Sus scrofa: one gene and its partners. The protein of the gene in region 4 interacts with the protein of the main gene of each other region in a pairwise test. Links are inferred from orthologs where the notes say so. Each region holds a gene or a part of one and is shown on either strand. Other genes may lie near its edges. The genes, in order: FGFR1OP2, SPTBN1, OLFM1, TRAF3IP1, SMC4, DMD and IMMT.

Region 1 (3,189 bases), on a different chromosome or scaffold from region 4:
AAATGGCCAAAAAAAAAAAAAACTTACAAAATATGACAGATGTTTGTCTTGGTATCATTCTTGCTACCATAATCTAATCCAGAGCTCTAATCCAGAGCTGTCCAACAGAACTTTCTGCAGTGATGGAAATATTCTTTATTTATGCTATTCAGTATGGAATCTACTAGCCACATGTGGCTCTTGAGCACTTGAAGTGTCACTTGATGCAGCTGAGGGACTACATTGTTAATTTCTTAAAAGGTATTTGACTTTTTTGTTTTTAGGGCCACACCTGCAGCTTATGGAAGTTCCCAGGCTAGAGGTCGAATCCGAACTACAGCTGCCAGCCTATACCACAGGCACAGCAATGCCAAATCCAAGGTGCATCTGTGACCTACACCATAGCTCACAGAAATGCCAGACCCTTAACCCACTGAGCAGCGCAAAGGATCAAACCTGCATCCTAATGGATACTAGTTGGATTCATTTCTGCTGAGCCACAGTGGGAACTCCCTGACTTTTAAGTAATTTTACACCATACTGAACAGCATAGTTCTTTTATTTTGCTTTCTTCTGTGTACTAGCGTTGTAGAGGTTGTGTGAAAATTAATATAACAATCTATATTTTGTTGCTTAAGAAGATATTAAATGTATGGTTTATTAAAGATACTCTTGATTGTTCTCTAAGATATTGCTTCCATAGTTTACTAGTTTTGTAGTTTTGAGGGGTCTTGTTCAAGTCCTTTTTACAAATAGAGTATATACGACTTAGTGTTTATCTGGGGAGCTATTAACGTTTATATTTTGGTTTTGGCCTTACTATAACAAAATAACCCTCAATGCCAGTGAGCAGTGGGCTATATATAAGTTCATTTTTTAAAAAATCATGTTTCTGTTTATTTTAAGTCTTTTATCTGTCTCTTTCATTGACTCTCAGCGCCTTGAAATCAGGGAACATTCCTTAACAGGCTTTGTATTCTTTTTGCCTAACACTTGCCTGGCACATTATAGGTATGCATAGAAAGAGTAAAATAATGACATGGGAAGAAACTTATGCTGCTTGCTCTGCCAAACAAATGCGGATGTCTGTACTAAAATTATATTTTGAACAGTTTGCAAGAAGGTCATTTATTATTTTAATACTTAAAAACAGAACTCTCTTCATTTCACTTGATGTTTATTATCTATTATGTACCTAACATTAAATAATAAGCAAATATAAACAGTACACAGTTCCTGTTCTCGAGGAGGATTATAATTTAGAAAGATTCTAGATAGAGTTGAGATCAATTTCTAGGTATGGATAATACAGAAAGTATTTGTAAAAGAGGGATTAAATGTTTATCTTTCACATTACTTTGACATTGGGGTATGTAAGTTCCCCCCAGAAAAGTTTGCTGATCATTTGCAGTGAGAGAACTATGAAATATGAATATTCTTCTTGTTAATGGATTTAGTTATATTGTGCTGCTTATCCTTAATCCTAGTCCCAACAGAAATCTGATTTCAAAAACACATATATGGTCAGTCAACTTTCTTATAAATATCTGTTTGATATATTACATTTATGTTAAATGACAAGGTAAAGATAGTATGTTTATATTAAGTAGCAATGCAGGTTTTATAAAAAGGAGAGGATCTAGGGTGTCCCCTTGGATCAGCGGAAATAAATCTGACTAGTATCCATGAGGACGCAGGTTCGCTCCCTGGCCTCGCTCAGTGGGTTAAGAATCTGGCATTGCCGTGGGTGAGCTGTGGTGTAGGTCGAAGACTCGGCTGCAATCTGGTGTTGCTGTGTCTGTGGCGTAGGCCGGCAGCTGTAGCTCTGATTTGATCCCTAGTCTGGGAACCTCCATATGCTGCAGGTGTGGCCCTGAAAAGAAAAAAAAGAGGAGATCCAAAAATAAAAATAATCAAGTATTTCACTGATTGACAACTTCCATCTCTCTCTCTCTCTTTTTTTTTTTTTTAGGAATTACAAGCACATGTTGACCAGATAACTGAAATGGCAGCAGTAATGAGGAAAGCCATTGAAATCGATGAGCAGCAGGGTTGCAAGGAACAGGAACGAATATTACAACTCGAAGTAAGTTTTAAATTGCAAATGTAGGTGAAAACTGTCTGTACAAAGATTTATGCCAGAAAATATATCCCATTTTTATCTTATTTTATTTATCCCAGTTTTAAATACATACTTTCTGGGATACTGGTAATGTTCTTTTTCTTAATTTGGATATTACTTATATGGTTATATAATGCAATACCATTTATATAGTAATGCAAGTCTGGGATCAGTAGTAAACAAACTAGTAATTGAGAAAATTGATTTTTTAAATCCTGTGTTGCTTCTGTTCTTAAGTGAATATACTTCTTCATTTTAGTAATTAAAAAAAAAAAATGTTAGAATTCTCATCATGGCTTGCCAGTAACGAAGGATGAGGATGAGGATGCAGGTTCAATCCCTGGCCTCGCTCAGTGGGTTAAGGGTCTGGCATTGCTGTGATCTGTGGTTTAGGTCACAGACACGGCTCAGATCCCTCGTTGCTGTGGCTGTGGTATAGGCCAGCAGCTGTAGCTCTGATTCAACCCCTAGCCTGGGAACTTCCATATGCTGCAGGTGCAGCCCTAAAAAGACAATAATAATAAAAATAAAAGCTTCATTTTGAAATCATAGTGGAGAAATTGGTTACAGAAGGCCAAATGTGACTTTTCTAAGCATATAATGTTCTCTTATTCTTCATAACAAAAGTAAGGAAACTTTTTCAGTAAAAAGCCAGATAGTAAATCTTTTTTTTAAAATTTATCTTATGAAAGTAGAGTTGATTTACAATGTTATGTTAATTTCTACTGTATAGCAAATTGATTCAATTATACATATATATACATTCTTCTTCGTACTATTTTCCTTTATGGTTTATCACAGGCTATTAAATACAGTTGCCTGTGCTGTACAGTAGCAAACAGTTAAGTCTCTTAAGCTTTGCGAACCAGGCAGTCTCTGTTGCAGCTCCTCAACTCTGCCATGGTAACACAAAAGCAGCCAGACCCACAAGAATAGGATTGGACTCAACTGTGTTCCGTTAAAGTTTAGTTTACAATAACAGGCCTCAAGCCAGGCCATAGTATGCCAATCCCTGTTTTATACCTTTGACGCCTCGAAAGTAAGACCAAAGACAAAGCACTAGAGAATATATTATAAAAGTTATTTTA
Region 2 (3,500 bases), on a different chromosome or scaffold from region 4:
AGGGTTTTATTTTTCCAGACCATATGGTGTCCCCTGAGCTGTTTTGTTGATACTTGGTGTCCATATACTGAGAGAGGTGATTTTCCCAAAGGATGTAGTCAAAGCAGAGGTGGAGAGGGGAAATCCCAGCTTTGACTGTCACTGTCAATTTCATTGTCCAGCCGTGAGCTTCTGGCCTCTCTCACGCTGCTTTTTCCACCACCCCTGCACCCACAGGTGGAGTCAGTTCAGGGAGCTGGTGGACCGGAAGAAGGATGCACTCCTCTCCGCCCTGAGCATCCAGAACTACCACCTCGAGTGCAATGAAACCAAGTCCTGGATCCGGGAAAAGACCAAGGTCATCGAATCCACCCAGGACCTGGGCAATGACCTGGCTGGCGTCATGGCCTTGCAGCGCAAGCTGACCGGCATGGAGCGGGACCTGGTGGCCATCGAGGCGAAGCTGAGCGACCTGCAGAAGGAGGCTGAGAAGCTGGAGTCCGAGCACCCCGACCAGGCCCAGGCCATCCTGTCTCGGCTGGCCGAGATCAGCGACGTGTGGGAGGAGATGAAAACCACGCTGAGGAACCGCGAGGCCTCCCTGGGAGAGGCCAGCAAGCTGCAGCAGTTCCTGCGGGACCTGGACGACTTCCAGTCCTGGCTCTCCAGGACCCAGACGGCCATCGCCTCGGAGGACATGCCCAACACCCTGACCGAAGCCGAGAAGCTCCTCACACAGCATGAGAACATCAAAAACGAGATCGACAACTACGAGGAGGACTACCAGAAGATGAGGGACATGGGTGAGATGGTCACGCAGGGCCAGACCGACGCCCAGTACATGTTTCTGCGGCAGCGGCTGCAGGCCCTGGACACCGGGTGGAATGAGCTCCACAAGATGTGGGAGAACAGACAGAACCTCCTTTCCCAGTCCCACGCCCACCAGCAGTTCCTGCGGGACACCAAGCAGGCTGAAGCCTTTCTCAACAACCAGGTAACTCCCTCTCTGCCTGACCTGCCTTCCCATAGCCCCGGCTGTCTTTGGAAGCATTCCCACCTGGGCTGCTGGTTTAAACCTGGCCTCTGTGAAATTAGAAAAATAAGAGGCATTTGTTATTTCATGACTTCTAAAGCACTGAAACCCATCACAATGTAGGAGATAGAGTCGAAGTTTTCCAAAGGGGCAGTCTTGCCTTGCAAAGTACCGTTCTCCTCCAGCCTGGACGAGGACCTCTTGTGTTCACAGAGTGTCCTTTTGGTAGCTTATTAGATTTTTAGGCAACATTCTGTGGGATATTAATCCAATCTAATTAATCTAAAAGGTACAGTGGGGATTTCTTTTTTCTTTTTTCTGAATGGTTCTGTCTTCCTTGTTCTAAGAGTCAGGGACTTCCCCCAGTGACACAAGGCAGGGATTAAAGAAAAAGAGCTGAGGGTGGTCACCAGCATCGGGTTGATAATCGCTCTTAAAAGCTTTGGACTGAAGGTCTGTCACTCTTGCCTTACAGGCACACCAGCCGACCCTTGTGGCTACTGCACAAGCCTTTGTGTATGTCCCTCACTCATTTTGGGAAAAAAATTTAGAGCCATTAACCACTTAGGGAAATTTCAGTCACTTTTAATCCTCTGGGATTCTTCTCCTTCCCAGCTTTATGTTATCTGACTCCGTAGATAACTTCATTTAAGTGTAATGAAGGACATGTTGCATGGAAATGTAGGACGTAGGAAAGAGCGCTTTTGTTATTCTGAAATCGAGTTGTAGTTCGAGTTCTCATCCTGCTGCTATTGTGTTTTTTCCTTTTTAAATAAGGAGTATGTCTTGGCCCATACTGAGATGCCCACCACCTTGGAAGGGGCTGAAGCAGCTATTAAAAAACAAGAGGACTTCATGACCACCATGGATGCCAACGAGGAGAAGATCAATGCAGTCGTGGAGACCGGCCGCAGGCTGGTGAGCGATGGGAACATCAACTCGGATCGCATCCAAGAGAAGGTGGACTCCATCGATGACAGGTATGGTCCTGAGGTCCTTAAGGGCTTCTTGCAACCTGGGACTCTCCTGCGTCGGAATCATTGGCTCAAGTCACATGTCTGAATCACTGGTCAGTGTCCTTGGGGCTGTGGTTATAAATTCCCCATTGGGCAGGATTTGGGCACCTAGCAAAATTTAATCTACTCGGGAAAAGAAAGCCTGAGAAATAGAACCAATCCTTAACCTTAAGGCGTGTGACATGAGCAGCCGTGTGGTGTAAGCTGTGCGCTTTGAGAAGTGACACACAACATGTCACCCAGTAGGACCTCAAGAGCCAAGCGCTTCCCCAGCCAAGCCCACACTCAGCTTTATCCACACGTGCCTCTTCTGAGGCCCTTCAGGAGGAAGTGGGGAGAGAGCAAGGTTTGCTTGTCCTGGCTGAGCCACAAAGGAACATCATCAGGCCTTAGAAAATTGGCTTGGACAGTGCTGTAATGGGATCTTTTTCATAATAAGAGCAAAGACCCTTTCCGCCTTCTACTGGAGTCTCTCTAAGATTAGATGCTTTTATTTTATTTCTTTGCAGCTCTAAAAAGATTTTTCTCCTTAACTGAAGGCCAGTGTTCTCTGTTAGCCCCTTACCCTCTCACTTGGCCTTGGTTACCATTAAAGTAGGAGATCTGGGCAGATCTGACTTGGATGCACCGGCCTGGGCTGGTTTTGAGCCCACCACTTCTTGTCTGAGTGTGGCTTATCTGGGTCAGCCACTAGTCTCTGTTCCAGCTGATTTCTGATCCCAGTTTAGGCCGGATTTAAGGTCTCATTGTGAGACTGATGTCATCGAGAAACAAGCTCTTCCCCAAGGCTTCTCTGGCCTCCAAGTGCAGTGAAGAGGAAGAACTTCTTGCAGAGAGCAATTCCTTACTTAACCACATCCAAGAGGGTCTCCTGGGACCCTGAGCCAGATGAGCTTTTTGTGATACACAGTGGAGAGGGGAATTCATTCCTCTTTCCCCGTAAGGATTGAGTTCCTGGCTTTAGGCAGTCTGTCTTCTGCTCCGATTCAGATCCTAAACCTTGTGCTCTAAGGGTAGTACTATGGAATAGGGTATGAGGTATATTAATTATAGTCTTGCATCCATTGTTTTTAAAAGAGCTCCAAAAAAGAAAAAAAAAAAAATCTCTTTACCAAACCCTTCATACTGAGTGTGAGAAACAAGGATTGGGCAGGACATTCTTCACCTGGAGAAAAGAATTTCTTTTTCTCCTAATGTTAAATCTCTTGTTGTTTTGTAAACAAGGTACCCCACATCCCTCGGTGTTAGGTGCACACAGCCAGTTTCCTGGGGGCAGGCTGGGCCGTTGGGGACACGTGTGTTGAGGCCGGCATGCAGCTGCCTGGCAGCTTCCTCGGTTTGTTTATCTGTCCCTCGGTGCTGCAGCTGCAAGGGCTTGTTGGGAACAGGTGGTGTTGTCAGGACCGGAGACTCCTGGATATGAGAGAGCATTTCAGCAGCTCTCAGTTGTGGCCTAACCTTCCTTTTGCCCT
Region 3 (3,500 bases), on a different chromosome or scaffold from region 4:
CCCTGGGACGAGCAGGGCAGGAGCAGCAGCCGAGGGAGAGGTGGGGGTCGGGCCAAGACACTCACCTCCGTGCCGTGCCCTCTCTTCCAGCATGTGGCAAGCTGACGGGCATAAGCGACCCCGTGACCGTCAAGACGTCCGGCTCCAGGTTTGGGTCTTGGATGACGGATCCTCTGGCCCCAGAAGGTGACAACAGGGTAAGTGCCTTCTTCCTCAGGCCCAGGTATGGGTCGGGTTTGGACCGTCCTGGGGGACAAAGCTTGGTGGCCCTGGGGGGTGTTCCGGGGACTTTGGGGAGCGGCCCAGGTCCCTGGCTGAATTTTCCTGTGCCAACCCAGAGTCACAGACCCAGGGCGGGGTTCCACATGCAGTGGACAGTGGCAGTGATGGGGGCTGTGGGCTGCGACGCGCCCCCGCAGGCAGGGCTCTCTCCCTGGGGGCTCGGAGGCGCCTCTAGGCCGAAGCCTTCAGAGGCTGGCGGCCCTGCCCCCGCGCCGCTAGGCCCTCTTGTTTTAATGACTTCTCATTTGGGTTTCATTTGCCATTCCTTTCATGGCTGATGGAAACGCATGTTCTTTTTTGATTTAGGAAAAAAGCCACGTTCTTTTTTTTCTAGACGTTTCCCCCTGGGGTAAAAACTCTGAAAGAGAGAGAGACGAGTGTTGTATCTGGATGAGGAAGCGGGGCGCTGGGTTCTGTGGTTGGAGTCCCTCTGGGGTGTGGGGACAGGCGGCTGGCTAGCATCCTTGGGGAGCGTTTCACCAGAGGGGAGTGCCACACGCCCAGCTTCTGGGTCTCAGCGGAAGAGAGGAGTGGCGGGCAGCGCCATCCCTGGTGACCCACCCACCTACCGCTGGCACCCAGCCGTCCAGAGCCTTTCTTTTCCAGCCCCTTGCTGGCAGGACGTTTAGAAAATAAACATTAAAAACGGCCGATGAGAAAGGAGCTTAGACATTTGAGATCCCCGGAGCGGCGTCTGGAGGACCTTTAGTAGGAAGGGACCTGGAGCTTTCTGGCCTGTACCTCCCCCACCCCTTCCCGCCCTTCCGGCAGCCTGACGGCTTCTGTCTAGAACAGGAAGGGGCACCTGTCTCTGGCACACTGTCTCCTTCTGGGGGGGACCGAGTCGGGCTGTCTAGTGGCCTGTGCATCTGCCTTTATCCGACAACTTCCGGCGGGAGGGGGCCCCCCGCACCTCCCCCGACCCCGGGCAGGCCTGAGCTTCTTCCTGGAGCCTGTGCCTGGTTTTGCCAGCAGTGTCCAGAAGGCTGCAGACCCCGGCTACAGCTAGGGGCAGGTATTTGGGGGCTGAAGTTCCTTTCTGTTTTGTTTTCGGAATTGTGGCAGCTAGCTGGTGCTTGGGCATTTTCTAACAATTTAATTGGCCCATGAATGACCAGTGCATGGCCAGTTTCCAATGGAACTGGCCCGTGGTTACCCCAGCCACCGTTCAGTGCTGTCCCCGTGGAAAGCCCCACTCTGTCCCGCGTTTGATCAGGCACCTGCTCTCGCCGCAGCCATGGGTGATAATTACAGTAACTGGGCTGGGAGAACCAGACCGCGACGGCGGGGCCTGGGGGGTTCCGGGGTGTCCTGTCTACCCGTCCTGCTTTGGTCCCGCAGCCGCCCTCCAGCCAGCGGGTCACAGTGGTCTCCGCTCTGCCGATGAGAAAAGCCAGGCTCAGGAGGGCCACGTGACCCGCCCAAGATCTTGCAAAGGCTGGACAATGGTTTTATTTATTAGCCACAGGCCATTGATTAGCCGTGGATGTTCTGAGCTGAGGCCCCTCTCGATTACCCTCCCCCTGCCTCGTGCCCCCACCCCACCCGCCCCCCTGCACAAACCCAGCAGGCTGCTGGGACCTGAGAGCTGGAACCACTGAGCCTGGTACAGCTGGGACGAGCCCCAGGCTGGAGGACCCTCCACGCCTGACTCGACACCAGAGGCACCGCTGGGTCCCCCATCCAACGTCACTTCCCTTTGTTGTCGTGAGTGCTCTTCAAATTGCCTTTTCTCGGACACCAAGCAGCAGGGCTCCCAGAAGCCCCCGGGCCGCGTGGATGTGGGTTTGCGAGGCGGCGAGGCGGTGATGGATGCGTTTGGAAATTAGACGTCTCTCTTCTGCTTGATGACTTGATCACCTTCAGGGAAAGGGGCCCTTGTGATGGACGAGGCGGATGCCGGGGGAGCGGGAGGGCGGAGCCGGAGGGCGGCCGGAGGGCCTGGGCACGGAGGGAGGGGAGCCGCTGGCCGGCAGGGGGCCGTGGGGGTCCGCTCCCAAGCTTTGGGCAGTTGGCAGCCCTGCCCCAAGCCAGGAGCTCTGCACAGCTGCCAGCTCGCAGCCTGCAGGGGACACGTCCGCAGGCCCCACCGTTGGTCTGGAAAGGCGCTGCTTTGTTTCCTTTTGGTCTTTTCCAGTCTTCCAACCCATTTTGATCACACACGCTGGAGACCAGTAACTCCCTCCAAAAACAGAAATCAATGTCAGCTTCAGGGCCAGAGGCTCCCAGGAACAAGCGAAGAGGTTGGGGCCCGCGAGGGTGGGGTGGGGTGTCGGGGAATGCCTTGGGCTCCCTGGTCAGGGAGCCCCTGAAGGGGCCTTCGCGTCCCCCTGCCTTTGTGCGGAGCTGTGAGAACCAAGCCAGCTCTTTCCCTAAGCACCAGCTGTGTGCCAGGCTCTGTGCTGGGCTCTGGCGGTCTTCTACCCGGTCCGGAAGCAGCCTTCTCACCACGGTGACCGGGCCACGTGCTTCCGAGGGCCCCAGGGCTCCAGAAGCCCGGTCCTCGTGCCCGGCTATGCCCCCCTGCTGGGAGACCACGTGTGTTCCAGGGACCCAGTTCCCGGGTGCAGAACCCCAAGACCTCTGACTGTGACCCTCCTGGGGGCCGGCTTTACCATCCTCTTACTGGCCTCGAAGTCCCGGGATGGCTCACATCAGTCCTTAGTGAGGGGACCGGCCGGCCTCTGGCCCTGTTCCAAGGAGGCCATCTCATCACAAAAACCCTGCCATTGCACAAACAGCAGTGAGCTTAGCTGCATGTTTAAAAGTCCTTCCCTGTCGTCTAAACAGTGTCCAGCCATCCACCCGGGGTATACAGATCCTCCGAATCCCGCTTCCCGAAGGGCAAGTGCTCCCAAACGGGCAGCCGCACTGTCCCGTGCGGTCAGCGGTCAGCCCAGAGCCCGCGCGGCTCAGGAAATGCCAGCGCCCCTTCTAGCCGTCTCTCCGTCGTCGCAGGGGCTGTCTGGGGGCTGCCGACCCCGCCCCCTTTGGACCCTCCTCCCCAGGGGAGTCTCCCCACCCCTCTTGCTCCCTTCGGAGCCCTTTGCCCTTTGCCCCAGCTCCCCGGGGTCACCTCCTGCTGGGGATGTCACGTCCTGCCACAGCAGACCAGACACAGCCAGTGGCTCAGCCAGCGCCCCCACCCCACTGCACCTTTCTCAGCCGTGTCCCTGCCTCACCGTGGAAGGTGGGGGCCCCGTGCCCTGCCCTGCACC
Region 4 (3,500 bases):
CCTTCTCCGGCCTGTCGTGCTCGCGGCTCTTCTCCCTGTCGGGGTCCCGGGCGTGCTCCCCGTCTCTCGCCCTCCGCCGCTCCCGCTCGCGGCCTTTCCCCCGCTCCTTCTCCTTGCCCGCCTCGACCTTCCGCTCCCGCTCCCGCTCCGCGTCCCGGTCCCGGCCGGGCCTGGGCCTATTCTTGGCCCGCTCGCGCTCCCCTCCGCCGGCCGTGTCTCTCGCGGGCTCTTTACGTCTGTCCCGCTCCCGCTCCTTGGCCTTCTCCTTGTCCCGCTCCTTGTCCCGCGGCGGGCTCTCTTCTCTCAGCTCTTCTTTCTGGTTCCTCTCTCGGCTTGTACTTCCCGCGGTGACTTCCGAGTTTCTTCTCCTCTCCTGAAAAGAAAGGCCAAGTAGCGCTGCCGCTGCTGTATTTACCTGGACCACAAAAGGCCCCACGGGCTCAGGTCCAGACGTACCACCTGCACTCACCTCTTTACCTCTGGGGACCCCGGACTCTCCGTCCCTCATGCTCTTATGATCCGTTCCTCGAGGGTTCGCCGCCAGCGAGGGCCTTCCTTTCACGTCCCCCTTCTCTCCGGCCAACACTCTCTTCACGGCGTCCTCACTGGAGAGCTTACCCCGCGGGAGGAACAAGACGCAAGGTGACAACGACATCCGTGAGCGGAACACACCCCAATGTCGACGTGCAGAGCAGCCCGCCAGGGACGGACGTTAAAAGGAGAGGTTCTGCCGACAACGTGCTGCCTCGGCCCCAGCCGTGCCCTCGGGCGCTCTGCCCGCTCACCGCAGAGGCCACCGCGCTCCGCGAGGCCGGCTCCGTTCCACCCGAGCGGCCAAGAGCGGACACGTGCTGCTCAAGGGCACGGACGCCGGTCCACGCGGCCCAGCAGCGCCTTCCCCCTGGCTCGGGTCACAGAGGCCCGGCCCTGAAAGGCCCCTACGGAGCCCTCTAACCCGAGCCCCAGCCAGGGCACAACCACGCTCGACCGCCACCTGGTCCCTGACCCTGTGCGGCCGGGAACCCCGTCGCCCACACACTCACGGGTTCCACACGCACACGTGAGCGACTCGACCACAGGCAGGGGACACACGGCATATGGGCAAGGGGCCCAATACAGCCGTCAAAAGTTAGTGCACTGTGACAAGGATGCCAAGTCAGCCTGGGGGAGGGTGGACAGGCCAATCCCGCGCGGCTGCCCACTGCCCGCTGCAGCAGCGCCAGCCGAGAGCTCAGCAGCGTGGTGGGAGCGCGGCTGGGCGGGACAGGGGTGACAGCAAAGGACCGGGGAGGAAGCAGCAGCAGGTCTCAAGGGCTCCGTGAGCTGGGCCACGGAGCTGGGGCCACGGAGCTGGGCGGGGACGCGGGAGGAGCACCAGTCAGGTGTGCTTTCAGAGACGGGCAACGCACAGGGCCTGGGATGGGGGCCAGGATGGGGCCAGCAAATGGGCAAAATCAGCTTCTGCGTCCCCAGGCCTGGGACCCAGCCTGAGCCCCCTCCCACTCCCACGCTGCTGTGTGAGCCGAGAGCCGCCTTCCCCACCCTGGGGACATCGAAGGTCAGCCCCCCCTGCAGCCCATCAGCTCCGCGAGAAAGGGCCATGGCCGCTCCCCGGGGGCTCCTCAGCTCCCCCAAAGAAGGCAGGCCTTGGGGATGACCTGCTCCAGGGGTGCTGGGGTACCATGAGGCCAGAGAAGCCAAGACTCTAGCCCATGGAGAAAATCTCAGGAGTAACCAATCCAGCCCCTGCACAAGTGAGAGAGGTTCTAGAGAGGCGGCACAGCTCTGCAAACGCCCTGGAGGAGAGGGCGGGGCCGAGGGAGGCAGACCCCAGAGGAGGCAGGGAACAGGGACCTTCCACAAGGCCCCAAGGCAAAGAAAAGCAGCTCCTCGGCCACCCGGGTCCTGGCTGGAAACAGTCACCTGCCCTGAAAGGAGGCCCCAAAGGAGGAGGCACCCAGGGCCTCCAGCCACGTGTGCCCCGCCCAAAGCGCCCAAGTCCCTGCCTTACACTCCCGGCCACAGAGCTCACAGGAACACCCTGCGGTTTTAAACTACTTCTGTGACTCCGGGCAGGGTCAGGTTCCGAGCCGGCCTGGAGCTCCTCCCCCGGAACACCTCCCACCGTGCGGTCTGCCCTCCCGTCTGGGGTCTGCCCTCCTCCCGCCGGTGGGTTCCCACTCCGAGGGGGCGGGCAGGGGGCACCTTGCTGAGACAGCACTTTCCGAGTCTCTGGAGAAGCTCGTTGGTTTTCTCAGGCTCGTGCCCGGCCACGATCCGGGCCGGTTTCGCCGACAGCGGCTCTCCGGAGACCAGCACCACCACGTCTATGGCCTTCTGGAGGAAGCTAATTTTTGCATCTTTATCCTGCAAGATTTCCATATAAAAGGCAAATATTACAACACCTGAAGAGGAGGGTACGCTACCTTCAGTACATTCAACAGACACGGTTCCGGTTTAGATAAAAAGCGATTTTCAGATGTACGTCCAGTTTAGAGATACTGACTCTCTACAACAACAACAACCAGGAACCGAAGTCCAAGAAAGCTCTGCGTTTGGGTTGATGGGCTGGCATGAACCTTTAGAAGACTAATGCCATCTCTCGAGGATAAAATTCGCTGCCAGGGAGACCACGAAACGAGGAAGAGCAAGGGCGACCCCGGGAGGGACCAGCCTGGCGGTCCAGCCACAGGTCAGCACGGAAGCGAGAGCTGGCGCAGCGCCCGGCTCACAAGAGCCGCGTTCACGCAGGCGGGGCCAGGAGAGCCCCTCGGACCTACCTTAACGTTGTCGGACTTCATCTCCGCATCCGTGTAGAGGCCCTTCATGAAACCGGTCATCCGAATCACCTTCAGAGAGAAGGTGAGGCCTTGGTCAGCACCCTCGGGACAGCCCGTCCATCAGCCTCCCCCACTGCCCTGAGCAAAGGGCTGCCAGAACCCGTCCACGCGCAGGAGGTTGTTGACACACTTCCTCGACAGACACCTGCGTGTCTGCCACGGCGAGGCCACACCGCAGGCAGAAGCCCACCCGGTCCTCCCAGAGCTCAGCCTGGCTAGGGACCCCCAGGGAGCACAGGCTCACCCCCGATCCACGAGCAGGAGGGCCCCGTGGTGTCAGGACACACTTTCCCAGCCACTCACATCGAAACTGAGCCCAGAAGCTTACAGGGAACCGGGGGAGAGGTACAAGGAAGCACGTGCCGGACAAAAGAAACAGGCCCACAAGGTCCAGGGCCAAGAGGGTCCTGCTCAAAGGACCAGAACTGTGCGGACAGGAGGAGCCTGAGGCCAGGGAGTCGGCAGGGGCTGGCCTGCAAAGCCATTCAGGAGCACGGCCTTAGCCTAAGGACCACCAGGCAGCCCTGAGAGGTCCCACAGCAGGAACAGCCTCTTATGAGGGTCCCTCAGGACAGGAAGGAGGATGAAGTTTGGAAAGGAGAACTCCCAGGGGGGGTTTCTCCTCATCACCGTCACTCCCTTCCAGGGACGGGGGTGCTC
Region 5 (3,500 bases), on a different chromosome or scaffold from region 4:
CAAATACTAAAGCCAATGAACTAAGCGTTTTTTCTCCTCCTGAAAGGTTGAAGATCTTCTTCCAACTTTTTTTAGGTGGTCGAACACTGAAATAATGAAGAAAATCTCTTGTCAAATTACGTGTAAAGCTGAAGTTATTAAGACTGATTTGTTTCTGGTAACTGGCTGCTTCTTTGAGAATCTCTAATTTGCTTTTCACAAATCTAAACTCTTTGAAGGTTATTTTATAAAAATGTTATTGGAGGATGAATAGGAACACCTACCAAAAATTTACGATTTAAACAGTATGCCAATAGGCAGTTTTTACTATCTTCCCTTGTTTTCAATGCAATTATTACTTTGAAATTTTAAAATTCTGATCTTAAATTGAAATGGCTCAAAAAGTAAAAGATGAAGTAAACAAATATTCTGTAAAATCAAGTATTTACTGTTTTACAGGGTTTAAGCTATCAATTGCCAATAATGTAAGCAAACTGGTATTTATCAGATAAAACAAGTTATAGATCTAACCTTCACATCCCACCCCTAAAAAACACTGTTTGGAGAATATGTAGAGATGTAACCGAAGGATCCACAACTCAGTATACAGCATAATTACAAACCTGAACATGATTCCTTCAGCAAAAGGATCCAAGCTGTCTACAAGCTCCAGTTCAGCATCGCCTCCCAAAGTAAGCATCTGGTAATTTTCCTTTAATTTATTTGTTATTATATAAAAACCTGCCATGAATTCATTAAGCCTTTGTTTCCGAAGATCTTCATACGCCTGTCTAAAATTATCTCTTTCATAAGTAATTTTGTCCAATTCTGCTACCCGTTGTAAATATAACTCTTCCTATGAAGAGAATATTATTATGAGAAAAACATCCAGTTACACATTTGAGATGAGAATTAATGCTGCTAATTATATAAAATTAAAGCCCACAATTTAGGCTAAGGAATAAACAGATTTTCTGACCATTACACATGAATAGCTCATTTGTACCTTCTTTTTATACTCTACAATGGCACCAAGGTTTGGTTTCATTTCATGACACTGGGCTTCCAAAAGTGCAATTTGATTTGTTATAGAATCTGGGTTCTTGATTGCTTCAAGATCCTCTGGAGTTAGAACTGCAATCTCTTCAACAGGATTATCTTCTATGGGATGCAATGATATTTTTGAAATCTAAAAAGTTTAATTTAGTTGAGTGTTAGGAAACCACAGTGTATTTCATTGTTAAAAAAAATCCCCAAATGAATATGATAAATTACCTATAAATTACAATGGTGTATTCTAAGGAGTGGTGACTAATTTGTAGATCAACACTTTTACAAAGGACTTAAAGAAAAATTGTGGTAGTGTTCCCAAGTGTTCTTGTAACTTTCTGTTAACTCTCCATATCAGCCCTGGGGTGAAAATGTTGACTAATTCATCATTACTCATACTTTTCCATATATAATAACAACTTTGTATTGTTCATTATGTCACCTATAAACCTGAGAAGTGATTATATGTATCATGGAATCACAACATACCTTAAAAACACACAAAAAACCCCAACCCTTTTTCATAAAGGCTATTTTAAAGTTAAAATTAACTAATAGTAACAAGCTCACCTCTTTTTGCCAATATTTTATTTTAGAATTATGTTCACCAATGTGACCATCTATTTGTTCAAGTTTCAACTTAATACTAAGTGCATCTTTTTGAAGAGCATGTTCATTTTCTTGAATTACTTTTAATTCTTGAAGTAGGCTACGATGTTCTTTCTGGATCTCGGGTAAGGACTCCTAAAAATCAATAATAGCTGCTATAGATATGATCTTTCCAAATAGAACAGGGATTTTCACATTACAAAAATGAAGCAGTTAGCAATCTCTCCCTATGCCCTTTCCGTTTTAAGTGTTTTTATTTAAATAAAAGTTACAATATAGCACTCATTTTTATTGTACATATAAAAGTTAATATAGTTATAAGTTCTAACCTGAGTGCTTACTATGCAAGATACTGATGTCTATTAACTCCTAATTGCTTCAAATACTGTTCTCTCCCCCACTTACCTCTGCAGCATTTGTATTCTTTATGACTTCTGCTGCTTTGTCCTCAAGACTTTTTAGCTCTGTCGTTAAGTCATCTACTTCTTTCTCAGTATCTTTTATTTCTTTCTCTGTGCGAAAGACAGAGTCTTGTGCTTTTTTGAGATTTCTAAACAAGCAAAATGATATATTAAAATTGTGGTAGGGTTTAACTTGTTATTCTGCTTCTGTCATGAAGTGTCAACAACACTTCATGACATTAATGCAACATCTTTTTCTATCATAGATTTTAAAATTGATTTGCTAAAATCCTTCAATTAGTTCTTAAATGTTTATACAAACATTTGTGGGATGTTGTATATTTTATTAAACTCAGTATAAATTAATGAAATTTTTTTTTTTTTTTTTTTTTTGGTCTTTTTGCCTTTTCTAGGGCCACTCTCGCAGCATATGGAGGTTCCCAGGCTAGGGGTTGAATCAGAGCTGTAGCCGCCGGCCTACACTACAGCCACAGCAACGCAGGATCCGAGCCGCGTCTGCAATGTACACCACAGCTCACAGCAATGCCGGATCCTTAACCCACTGAGCGAGGCCAGGGATCGAACCCACAACCTCATGGTTCCTAGTCAGATTCGTTAACCACTGAGTCACGACAGGAACTCCGAAACTTCTTATATAAGCCTTTATATATCATCTGATCTTAGACTATGAAGCAAAGTTGTCTCACTCAATTATTTTATTTTTGTCATTTCCTTGTCTGATTGAGATTCTTACATCTTTACACCCATGAAGCTATTACCTTCAAATAAACAAACACCTCTTGGATCAAGTCAGTGGAAACAAGTGCTTCCAAGGGCAAGGGGCAGGAGCAGGGGGATGGATATGGAAGGATGATTGGGACCACAACATTCTCTCTCTCACACACACACACCTGACTATATTTTCTCTTAATAAAGTTACAATTACTTTGCTAACTATGTTTAGGCAAAACCAAAAGGCTTATTATTTATTAGCACCTTACCGCTGAACAAAAGACACAGCAATAACTGAATAACCAAAGAATCAATTTGCAGCCAATGTTATAATTTTAAGACAAAAAATTGTCTTAAAATGTTTGGATGTTTGTTTACATCCAAACATTTTATATACAGACTTAGCTTTATTTCAGAAACACTTTTATAAACAAGATCTAAGAATATTAAAAAAAATTGAGACAATGGAATAATCTGGATAATTAAAAATTTAAATTACAGCAATTTTGCTAAGAGAGCTCATCCTTATTCTCTTAAGACCTAGATTTATTTAAATGATTTATACCTACTCCTCTAAGCCAGAGATACAAAACTTTGACTTCCATATCCTCACAACTGAGGAGTTATAGAATCACACTTTGCTAAAGCATACCTGCTTTATCAGTTTTAAACTGGTCAGAATGCTTTTTATATATGTCCACCTATTAAAATCCTATTAGGTAATAACAT
Region 6 (4,112 bases), on a different chromosome or scaffold from region 4:
AAACCCACAATCTCATGCTTCCTAGTTGGATTCATTAACCACTAAGCCATGACGGGAACTCCCAGATAGCTGATTTTTATACCAGAGTGAAAGTTCTGATTGGGGCTAGCCATTCATTTTCTAACAGTTTTTATCCAAGGCATAGAACTCCCATGATTATCGAGGTCATGTATGGAAAGATTAACTACGTACAAGTATTGTCCTTGTTGAAGATGAGTTAAGCATAAGCAGTTGTGAGAGGAAAAATTAAGAGATACTCAAAGTACCACACTATTAAGACTTTTCAAATGATGAATCAAGAACACCTGTATAAAAATCCATGTAATAAAGTATGACTATTTATTAAATTTTTATTTTAATTATCTTTGTATCTTCAATTTTTATGAGTTATACTTTTTAACAGTGTAAGAAACAATATTCAATAGTGCCACTGAAAACAATCATTTTATGTAGTTTATTTTTATAACCTTTGAGGCATTGTAAAATTTACCTTGTCATTTAACTAGGTCTAGGAAAGACTAATATGTGAGAGAAAGTCAGGGGGAGGGGTGGTAGCGGGGAGAATTATTTATTACCATATAACAGGTTCTTAGGTTTGCTTTTTTTTGGCATTACTGTTAGTCCCACCACATTATTTTTTTTCCTGTGCATAGAAATTGGCTACAAAAAGCATTTATTAATAGCAGATGCCCCTTGTGCTTCAGAATTAAAAACAAAATCAAAACCTATAAAAAAATACAGAAAATACGGGTTTCATGAAGGTACAGAAACTAAAATATTCAAAGCAATTTTTTTTTTTATTTAATGGGCTCTAAACCCTTAAAGGTAAGGGCTTATCAAAAAGAAAAAGGTGGGTTGTGAAAATAAAGTAACCTGTTGGACTTACCTACCACTCACCCCATGGGGAGTCTCAGTTCTAATAAAAGCTTAATTTCACAAATGTAAACAGCAACAACAACAACAAAATTCCATTTTAAAGTGACTCAAAAGTAATATCTGATGTGGAATTCAAAGTTATAGAAAGGTCAAATTTTCCTTAGAGATGGATTTAAACTAACCATTTCCACAACACAGGAACCCACACAAACCTAGTATTAAAAATAAATTTGGAGATCTTTTTCTCCTTTTCTCATGCATTGTCAAATGTAGAAGTAGCACAATATAAAAATACTTTGTAGAATTCTTAAATTAACACACTTTACCCAAAATAATACCCTGTTACAGATTTATAGTAAATGCCCTTCTGCATATTTCAGATGATAGCTACAAGGAACTTGTCTAATAAACTGTATAAACAATAGCAATTTTAAAGCTATATATGAAACTATCCAATGTATCTTTTCAAATTGCTATTTTAAGGTAATTACTTAAAACCAATTCTCTCATCCTATGTGTTGAATGAGAAGGGCATTCCATTTAGGAAAGTTTACCCTATTTCCCTTTAAAATCAGAGAAACATGTTAAGTAATGGCATGAGGAAAAGAAGATAAGAGAGATGTTAAAATTGGATACAACTATTCCTCCCAGGCATTGTCAGAGGTACCATTCTTTTTTGACTTAGGGGCACCATTACTTGCATATACAAGTTTACTCCTTGTGAAAAGAAATCCTGCTCTGAACTCCTTTTGGGGAGTTTATAACCAATTTTTGTTTCTTACTCATTTTTGTTTGCTTTCTACTGTGATATTTTCTTTAATTTCTTATCAGAAATACACTTGCACATTAACTTTATGCCTTTGTCTTCTTCAACATTCAACACAATTTTGCTGTCCACAATTTGGTGCATTTCCAAGGGTGAGAGGAAGGGATTCAAGCAGCTGAAACTTCATCCTTTGGTAAAGCTTAACAGCTGCTTCCATTTACAGCTTTAAAGACCTATCCTAGTTTACAAGTGTTTGCACATGTAGGCCAGACTACCAAATACTTGAAGATTCTTTACAAATGAAAGGGCACTGTGGTAACCTGCAAAAACCTTAGACTTTTTATTCCTGCTTCTTTACTGGTTTTCAACTCCTATAGTTATGCTCTGGGCACGCAAACCTTCCTGCCCTGCCCTTCTGACATTTTCCTACAAGTGAGGTGAAACTTCTCAGATTTCTTAACTCAGCACTTGGCCACACCCTGACCAGCAGGCCTTCCCACACCTCCCCACCCCTCTCTCCTCAAAGGCTATTACTACGACAATATTTCTTTTAAATTAGTCTGCTTATTCTTTTACATTTTTAAAATACGTTACCATCCTATAATAAAACCAATATCCCGAGGCTTTCTTGAAAAAAAAAAAAAGAGAGAGAGAGAGAGAAAGAAATTCGCCCACCAGTATCTACCTGACCCAAAAGAAAAACGTGAGTTTCGGCTTTTTCGAGGAGCGGCGCCCCCTCCTCCCTCGGACCCACCCTCCCAAGCTCGGGGGCGTAGTGATTGTCCCCTGCTGCTCCTTCACTCCTCGCCACAACAACTTTCCGAAACCCTGTACTAACTTCTAGGGCACAGCCTCTGCAGAGAGGAGCCGCAACGCTCGACACCCCCACGCTAAAAAGCAAAACAGCAAGGTCCTACCAGCGCGGCTCCTGATGACGTCGGTGAATCCATCTCCAGCGGCATCTTCCCCTGACTGCTCCGGACCCCTTGGCTGAGCCATAGCCACACGCCACGTGCCCTGGCTCTCCCACGCCCCAAACTTTGGAGGCAGGTGGGTCCGCGCGGTCTGCCTGATGCTCTCCAAAGCAGGTAGCGCGCTGGAGATCCGGTGTATGAGGGTGGATTTATCACCTTCCTGGGTCCTCACCCACGGAAATAGGGATGCGTGGGGGTGGGTGGGGTGGAGTGGGGCGGCGGGAAGGGATGGTGAGCTGGAAAACACACAAACACCAACACCTGGCTTGGTGGAAAGAGGGGGCGGTTAAAATGCCCAGCTCATGCTTGAGAAGAGGAAACAGGTGCGATTCCCACTTCCTGCCCCCAAAATAGAGTGGGCGAGGACTGGAAGGTGAAAGCTGAGGAGGGACCCGATGGTCAATAAATACACCAGCAAGTTGGAGACTCGCTTTTCCACGCTGCGCAGAATCGATGCAAAAACAGGAGCAATTAGGGAATCGCTTGCCAAAAGCAGCACATGAGGTCATGAATGATTTAGCATTGCCACTTATAAGATGACTACACTGAAGAGAAGGGTCACTGGCTTTAGCTATCTGGGTCACTCACACGTGTGTACCCCACCATCGTTGTATCCTGACTCTAATGCACTGACAAGAAGTGGGGAATACAGGCTGAGCATAATCATATTTCTTAGGAGATTTCTCCAAAGCTACCCACCCTTCTTTCTGTGTGTAATCACTCTCCCTCCTCCATCCCTTCCTCCCACCACTGAAGCTAGAATTAGATTGGACTATAAACAGCTCGTATGACATTATTTTCTAAAAATTTCAGAAGCTACTTTCATTTGGTTAGTAACCTTACTCCTCCCCCCTACCCCTACACATATATAGTTCATCCTGCATTTCTTCCTGCAGAAGCTCAGTCACCCCAAATCCTGCCCATCACCTACCAAAGACAAATTAACTTTACAAGAAGAGCTTGGCAAGGGGCCTAGCAACAGCTAAGGATTTTCTTTTCCTGTTTTCCTCTGCATTTTCATCCAGAGTAGATTCTTAGCCTCTTCTAAAGCAGGGTTCTCTACCATTGCTAGACAGTGGAATCATCTGGGGAACTTTACAAACCACTAAGGCCTGGTTTCCACTCCCAGAAATGATGATTAATTGTGCTGGACTCTCACCTGGGCATTAACAGTGTGAAAAGCTCTCCAGTTATTCCAATATGCAATCAAGTTTGAAAAACATTGTGATAAAGGGACTTACAGACAGACAATCGGGTGCCTTCATAAAGGCAATTTTATCAGTAACCCTCTTCCATTTCCATTATATTGCCTTAGGTTAAAAACATAATATATTTGCTGTCGTGTTTTCTATCCCCAGATTGGCCTTTTGCATAGCAGTGGATAATTTATGTTGACAAAAATGTTATGCTTCACTCCAAAATTTCCTTAAACATAGAACAACTCTCAGGATGGAGCCTCAACCAGGTATTTCTCAATTAGCATCAGCCTGAGATGT
Region 7 (4,208 bases), on a different chromosome or scaffold from region 4:
AATGGTGGGTGCCAGGCGGAGGGGTAGGCAAGTGACAAACAGACGGAGCACAGAGGATTTTTAGGACAGTGGAAAATACTCTGTATGATACAAGATGATGGATAAATGATTCGCCCATGTTGTCATACATTTGTCTAAAAGAATGAATGTGCAACATCAAAGGTGAATGCTGGGATTCCCACCATGGCACAGTAGGTTAAGGATTGGTGTTGCAACAGCTCTGGATGCAGCTGCAGCTCAGATTCGATCCCCGGCCTGGGAACTTCCACATGCCATGGGTGCAGCCAAAAAAAAGGTGGGAGGGGGAATGCTAATGTCAACTATGGACATCAGAGAATCATATGGTAGTGTATGTTCATCGATTGTAAAAATTTAACACTCTACTGAGGGGTGTTAATACTGGGAAGGCTATACATGTGTGGGGACACAGGATATGTGGTAAATTCCCTCCATTTTGCTAAAACTGCTCTAAAAAAATAAGGTCTTAATTTAAGAGAGAGAAAGAGCTAGGGAGAGGGGGAGAAGGGGGAAGAGAGTTCCTTGGGATACTTGGGTTCCCAGGGGTACAAGAAAAAGCAGACTCAACAAAGGAAAATGAAAAAGATGAAGGGTAACCTGGGACCCAAGATACTACATGAGAAAAGGGAAAAGAGCGAAAAGAGTTTCACAAAATAACACATCAAACACCATGGAATGAACGAGAAGATAAGAATAAACCAATGAATTTTACAAGACAGAAATTTTAGGAAGGTAAGAAATCTTGGTTGTAGGCTAGAAATGGATTCATATTTTAGTAGTAAGTTTTGACCAGTTTTCTTCTAATTTCCTAAATGGAATCCCATTAAGTTTTTAGAAAATATTTTGATAAAGGCAAGGAAGGAAAAAGTAATTTTGGACTTTACTGCAGACAGTGACAATGTAACCTGAGGGCAAAATAATGAAGAGAGTGCCATGAAAGGAGGGCTCCAGAGACAAACTTCTACAGTCCCGCCCCAAAAGGCAGCTCTGCATCCTGCCCCCTCCTAGCCCAACTGGGGCATCACAACAGGGCCAGACTCTCATATGGCCGCCATGATCTCTGCCCCCTGCAGTTAAGCCCATGATCCGAGGTTGTATGGCAAAAGGAGTATCAGAGATATAATTCAGGTTACTAATCAGATGACCTGAATTTAATCAGAAGGGGGTGATCCAGGTGGGCCTGGCCTAATCCTATAAACCCTTTAAATCTGGGTCTGAGGGGGAGTTCCCATCGTGGCTCAGTGGAAAGAAATCTAACTAGTATCCATGAGGACGCAGGTTCGATGCCGGGCCTTGCTCAGTGGGTTAAGGATCCAGTGTTACCATGATCTGTGGTGTAGGTTGCAGATGCAGCTTGCTGCAGCTCCGAATTAAACCCACTTAAACCCCGGAGGTGTGGGGTGGGAGGGAACAAAGACTTGAGCCCTACAACCACAACAAACTACAATTCTGCCAACAAACTACAAGAGCTTGGAAGAGAACCCTTAGCTCCAAATGAGAACCACAGTGGGGACAATACCATAGCAGAGAACCCCATTCATGTCCAGAAACGGTTTTGTTTTAAGCTGCTCAATATGTGGCATTTGTTATATAGCAATAGAAAACCAACACACACCCCACTTTCCTATGGAAGAGGCTGCTTCTCTTACCCTTAAAATGAAAGGGAAATAAGAAAACTTGAAAGAAAAAATTAAGTTTGATTTTTATGATTTCTAACTCACTATGTCTAGGGATTTTGCTCAATTGCATGAGTCACAGTACCTGTTTTGCAACATCACATTTTGCCAAAATACCAATTTTCTTTAATTGTGAGCAGTGGGAATAGGTTTACCTTTTTTATTTTTAATTTTAGCAAATTACTTTGACAATCATGCAGAAATAAAAGGAACTGGGTTTCTAACCTCCTTGAATGTGTGCCAAAGTTGTCCCAGCACCTGGAGACACAGGCTAATCTCAGAAATGAGCACAAGGTCATGTCGCCTAACCTTCCTTGAGCACCAAGAGTTCGAGCTCCATAAACTACAACCTTTCATTTTTGTTCAGAGAACGAAGAGCTCAAGAGGTGTTCTCAGCTACAAAAAGAAGGGCAATCCCTCCTCCGTGATAATTACAACCTTGACCCCTAAAACGCGGACTCCAGCAGTCCAAGAACGGCCTTACTAAGATGCAATAAGACAAGGCTGTGCGTATCCTGCTGGGAAGTGTAGTTTTTCCCTGTCGACCTTCAACCACCGACTGTGCGAAACCTATCACGCGCCCAACCGGCGACCCGAGCGCCAGTAGCCTCGATTGGTCCTAGACTGGGGCAGCGCAGGGCTGATTGGATGGCACGTCCCCTAGGCCGTGCCTCCCGTCCTATGCCCGCCTCCCCGCCACCTTCTCCTCATGCCCCATCCCGCTCAGCAATAACCCTCAAGTCATCCCAGTCTGGCAAACTCCCGAATTAACTGCTTCACGGGCCCACCCGACACTCTCGCGATAAAGGCGGCCCTGAGACACGCCTTTGTCCCCGGGCCTAGGCAGAGACAAAGCCTCCCCCACTTTCAGTAGGTTGCCCGTCACCACACACTCTCTTCCGGCGCCCTGATCCTTACCTGGGCGGTGGAGGTCACGCCGGATAAATGACAGGCCCGCAGCATCTCGGCGCGGCGGACGGCGCTGCGGGTCTAAGTGAGAGCAGGGGCGGCGGCGGCGCGAGAAGGGGAGACCGTGCGCGCGCGCAAGCGTGCTTGCGTCCGTGCCGCCTGTCCGCGCCCTGCGTACCGGAAGGGCAGCCACCGCCACTGCGCATGCGCAACCTCCTGTTGCCCCTGTCCAAGCCCCTCCGAGAGGCTGGGCTCTGTCGGGACGGAAAGGGCGCTTTCTCTTTCCGGGTTGCGCTTCGGGTTCTGGTCTGTAGCGGGAAGCCCAGGGTACTAGGTGAACTGAACCGGTTGGAGGACGTCGGAAACTGGGGCTTCGGTTCCTGCGAAAACTGAGCAGGTGTGATTCTTCGGAGAATTCTAGCAGGAAAGTGGCTCAGCCTTTTCCGTCGGCTGGATATTTCGTAGAAAGGAATGGATTTGCCCAAAGTTACGTAAACGACGGTAGTGTCTCGGTTTCCGCGTTTGTTTTGTTTGACAGTCCTTCAGGGAGTCATGCTTTTGAGAGGCTGGGTGAGAGAACACTGAGGAGACCTTTGTGCAAAATTATTTGTTCATGTATCTAATAAATAGCAGAGAAGGGATAGGGACCCTGATTCTTCAGGTTCCACAGTCTCTACTCCTTCCATATTAAACCACACTGCTTTCTCCACCAAGTTTGTATTTTAAAAAGATAATTTTGGCCACAATCTGTGAGATGAAGTCAGTGCAGAAACACTGTTCAAAGCATTCCACCGATTCTGTAATCACGGAAACATATGTTAAATATTGAACACTATTCAATACTATTAGTACTAGTAATGATCTTATCACAATATCATAGAAACTAAATAACTTATCTATTGCGTGTGTAAGGTACTTCAAGTCTTAACTAGATAGTTCATTGTAGTTCTCCCTAGCGGTAGACAACGCTACTGAATCCCATTTGTAAAGAAGTGACTTTGAAAATTATCTAAGGAGTTCCCGTTGGGGCGCAGCGGAAACGAATCCAACTAGGAACCATGAGGTTGCGGGTTCAATTCCTGGCCTCAGTGGGTTCAGGATCCGGCGTTGCTGTGAGCTGCGGTGTAGATCACAGACTGGGATCTGGCGTTGGTATGGCTCTGGTAGCTACAGCTCCCATTAGACCCTTAGCCTGGGAACCTCCATATGCCACCAATGCAGCCCTAAAAGTCCAAAAAACAGAAAAATAAAATTATCTAAAATCAAATGATTACTTATGTTTGTATAGGTTTACTGCTTTTCCGAATAATTTTGTAATTACATTATACTTGATATTTCACATTGCCATCACTTAGCCTCAAGAGCAGTCGCCCACTTTTTTTTTTTTTTAGTAATTTTAACAATTAAACGGCAGCCCTGCCAGCCCATCCCTGCCCACTGCTCTCATGCTAGCTGACGCCAGTGTGATGACTTTTCTAACACCTTGGCCATAAACCTCTCAATGTCAATGAACATCTCCTCCAGCCATGTATGGCACAGCGTTGGGCCTCAATATCATTAGCAACTTTTCCATCTTCAAGATTTCAAACTCCAAAATTAATTTCT

Evidence for each region.
Region 1: the proteins of TRAF3IP1 (region 4) and FGFR1OP2 interact in a two-hybrid assay, tested with the Homo sapiens proteins (2 studies listed by IntAct). The link is inferred for Sus scrofa from reciprocal best matches to the Homo sapiens genes TRAF3IP1 and FGFR1OP2.
Region 2: the proteins of TRAF3IP1 (region 4) and SPTBN1 interact in a two-hybrid assay, tested with the Homo sapiens proteins (2 studies listed by BioGRID and IntAct). The link is inferred for Sus scrofa from reciprocal best matches to the Homo sapiens genes TRAF3IP1 and SPTBN1.
Region 3: the proteins of TRAF3IP1 (region 4) and OLFM1 interact in a two-hybrid assay, tested with the Homo sapiens proteins (2 studies listed by BioGRID and IntAct). The link is inferred for Sus scrofa from reciprocal best matches to the Homo sapiens genes TRAF3IP1 and OLFM1.
Region 5: the proteins of TRAF3IP1 (region 4) and SMC4 interact in a two-hybrid assay, tested with the Homo sapiens proteins (2 studies listed by BioGRID and IntAct). The link is inferred for Sus scrofa from reciprocal best matches to the Homo sapiens genes TRAF3IP1 and SMC4.
Region 6: the proteins of TRAF3IP1 (region 4) and DMD interact in a two-hybrid assay, tested with the Homo sapiens proteins (2 studies listed by BioGRID and IntAct). The link is inferred for Sus scrofa from reciprocal best matches to the Homo sapiens genes TRAF3IP1 and DMD.
Region 7: the proteins of TRAF3IP1 (region 4) and IMMT interact in a two-hybrid assay, tested with the Homo sapiens proteins (2 studies listed by BioGRID and IntAct). The link is inferred for Sus scrofa from reciprocal best matches to the Homo sapiens genes TRAF3IP1 and IMMT.

What each region holds. Positions count from the first base shown.
Region 1 is NC_010447.5:46,796,807-46,799,995, reverse strand, and holds part of FGFR1OP2 (FGFR1 oncogene partner 2), read left to right. Parts: intron 1-1,951; coding exon 1,952-2,065; intron 2,066-3,189. UniProt on the Homo sapiens protein: May be involved in wound healing pathway.
Region 2 is NC_010445.4:86,620,317-86,623,816, reverse strand, and holds part of SPTBN1 (spectrin beta chain, non-erythrocytic 1), read left to right. Parts: intron 1-216; coding exon 217-973; intron 974-1,789; coding exon 1,790-1,992; intron 1,993-3,500. UniProt on the Homo sapiens protein: Fodrin, which seems to be involved in secretion, interacts with calmodulin in a calcium-dependent manner and is thus candidate for the calcium-dependent movement of the cytoskeleton at the membrane.
Region 3 is NC_010443.5:274,253,241-274,256,740, forward strand, and holds part of OLFM1 (noelin), read left to right. Parts: intron 1-90; coding exon 91-197; intron 198-3,500. UniProt on the Homo sapiens protein: Contributes to the regulation of axonal growth in the embryonic and adult central nervous system by inhibiting interactions between RTN4R and LINGO1. Inhibits RTN4R-mediated axon growth cone collapse.
Region 4 is NC_010457.5:137,866,612-137,870,111, reverse strand, and holds part of TRAF3IP1 (TRAF3-interacting protein 1), read right to left. Parts: intron 2,850-3,500; coding exon 2,781-2,849; intron 2,368-2,780; coding exon 2,206-2,367; intron 614-2,205; coding exon 470-613; intron 374-469; coding exon 2-373; intron 1-1.
Region 5 is NC_010455.5:100,112,713-100,116,212, reverse strand, and holds part of SMC4 (structural maintenance of chromosomes protein 4), read right to left. Parts: intron 2,189-3,500; coding exon 2,044-2,188; intron 1,774-2,043; coding exon 1,600-1,773; intron 1,169-1,599; coding exon 986-1,168; intron 836-985; coding exon 603-835; intron 87-602; coding exon 1-86. UniProt on the Homo sapiens protein: Central component of the condensin complex, a complex required for conversion of interphase chromatin into mitotic-like condense chromosomes.
Region 6 is NC_010461.5:29,647,928-29,652,039, forward strand, and holds the start of DMD (dystrophin), read right to left. Parts: upstream 2,801-4,112; 5' UTR 2,642-2,800; coding exon 2,560-2,641; intron 1-2,559. UniProt on the Homo sapiens protein: Anchors the extracellular matrix to the cytoskeleton via F-actin. Ligand for dystroglycan.
Region 7 is NC_010445.4:58,573,772-58,577,979, reverse strand, and holds the start of IMMT (MICOS complex subunit MIC60), read right to left. Parts: upstream 2,801-4,208; 5' UTR 2,658-2,800; coding exon 2,613-2,657; intron 1-2,612. UniProt on the Homo sapiens protein: Component of the MICOS complex, a large protein complex of the mitochondrial inner membrane that plays crucial roles in the maintenance of crista junctions, inner membrane architecture, and formation of contact sites to the outer membrane.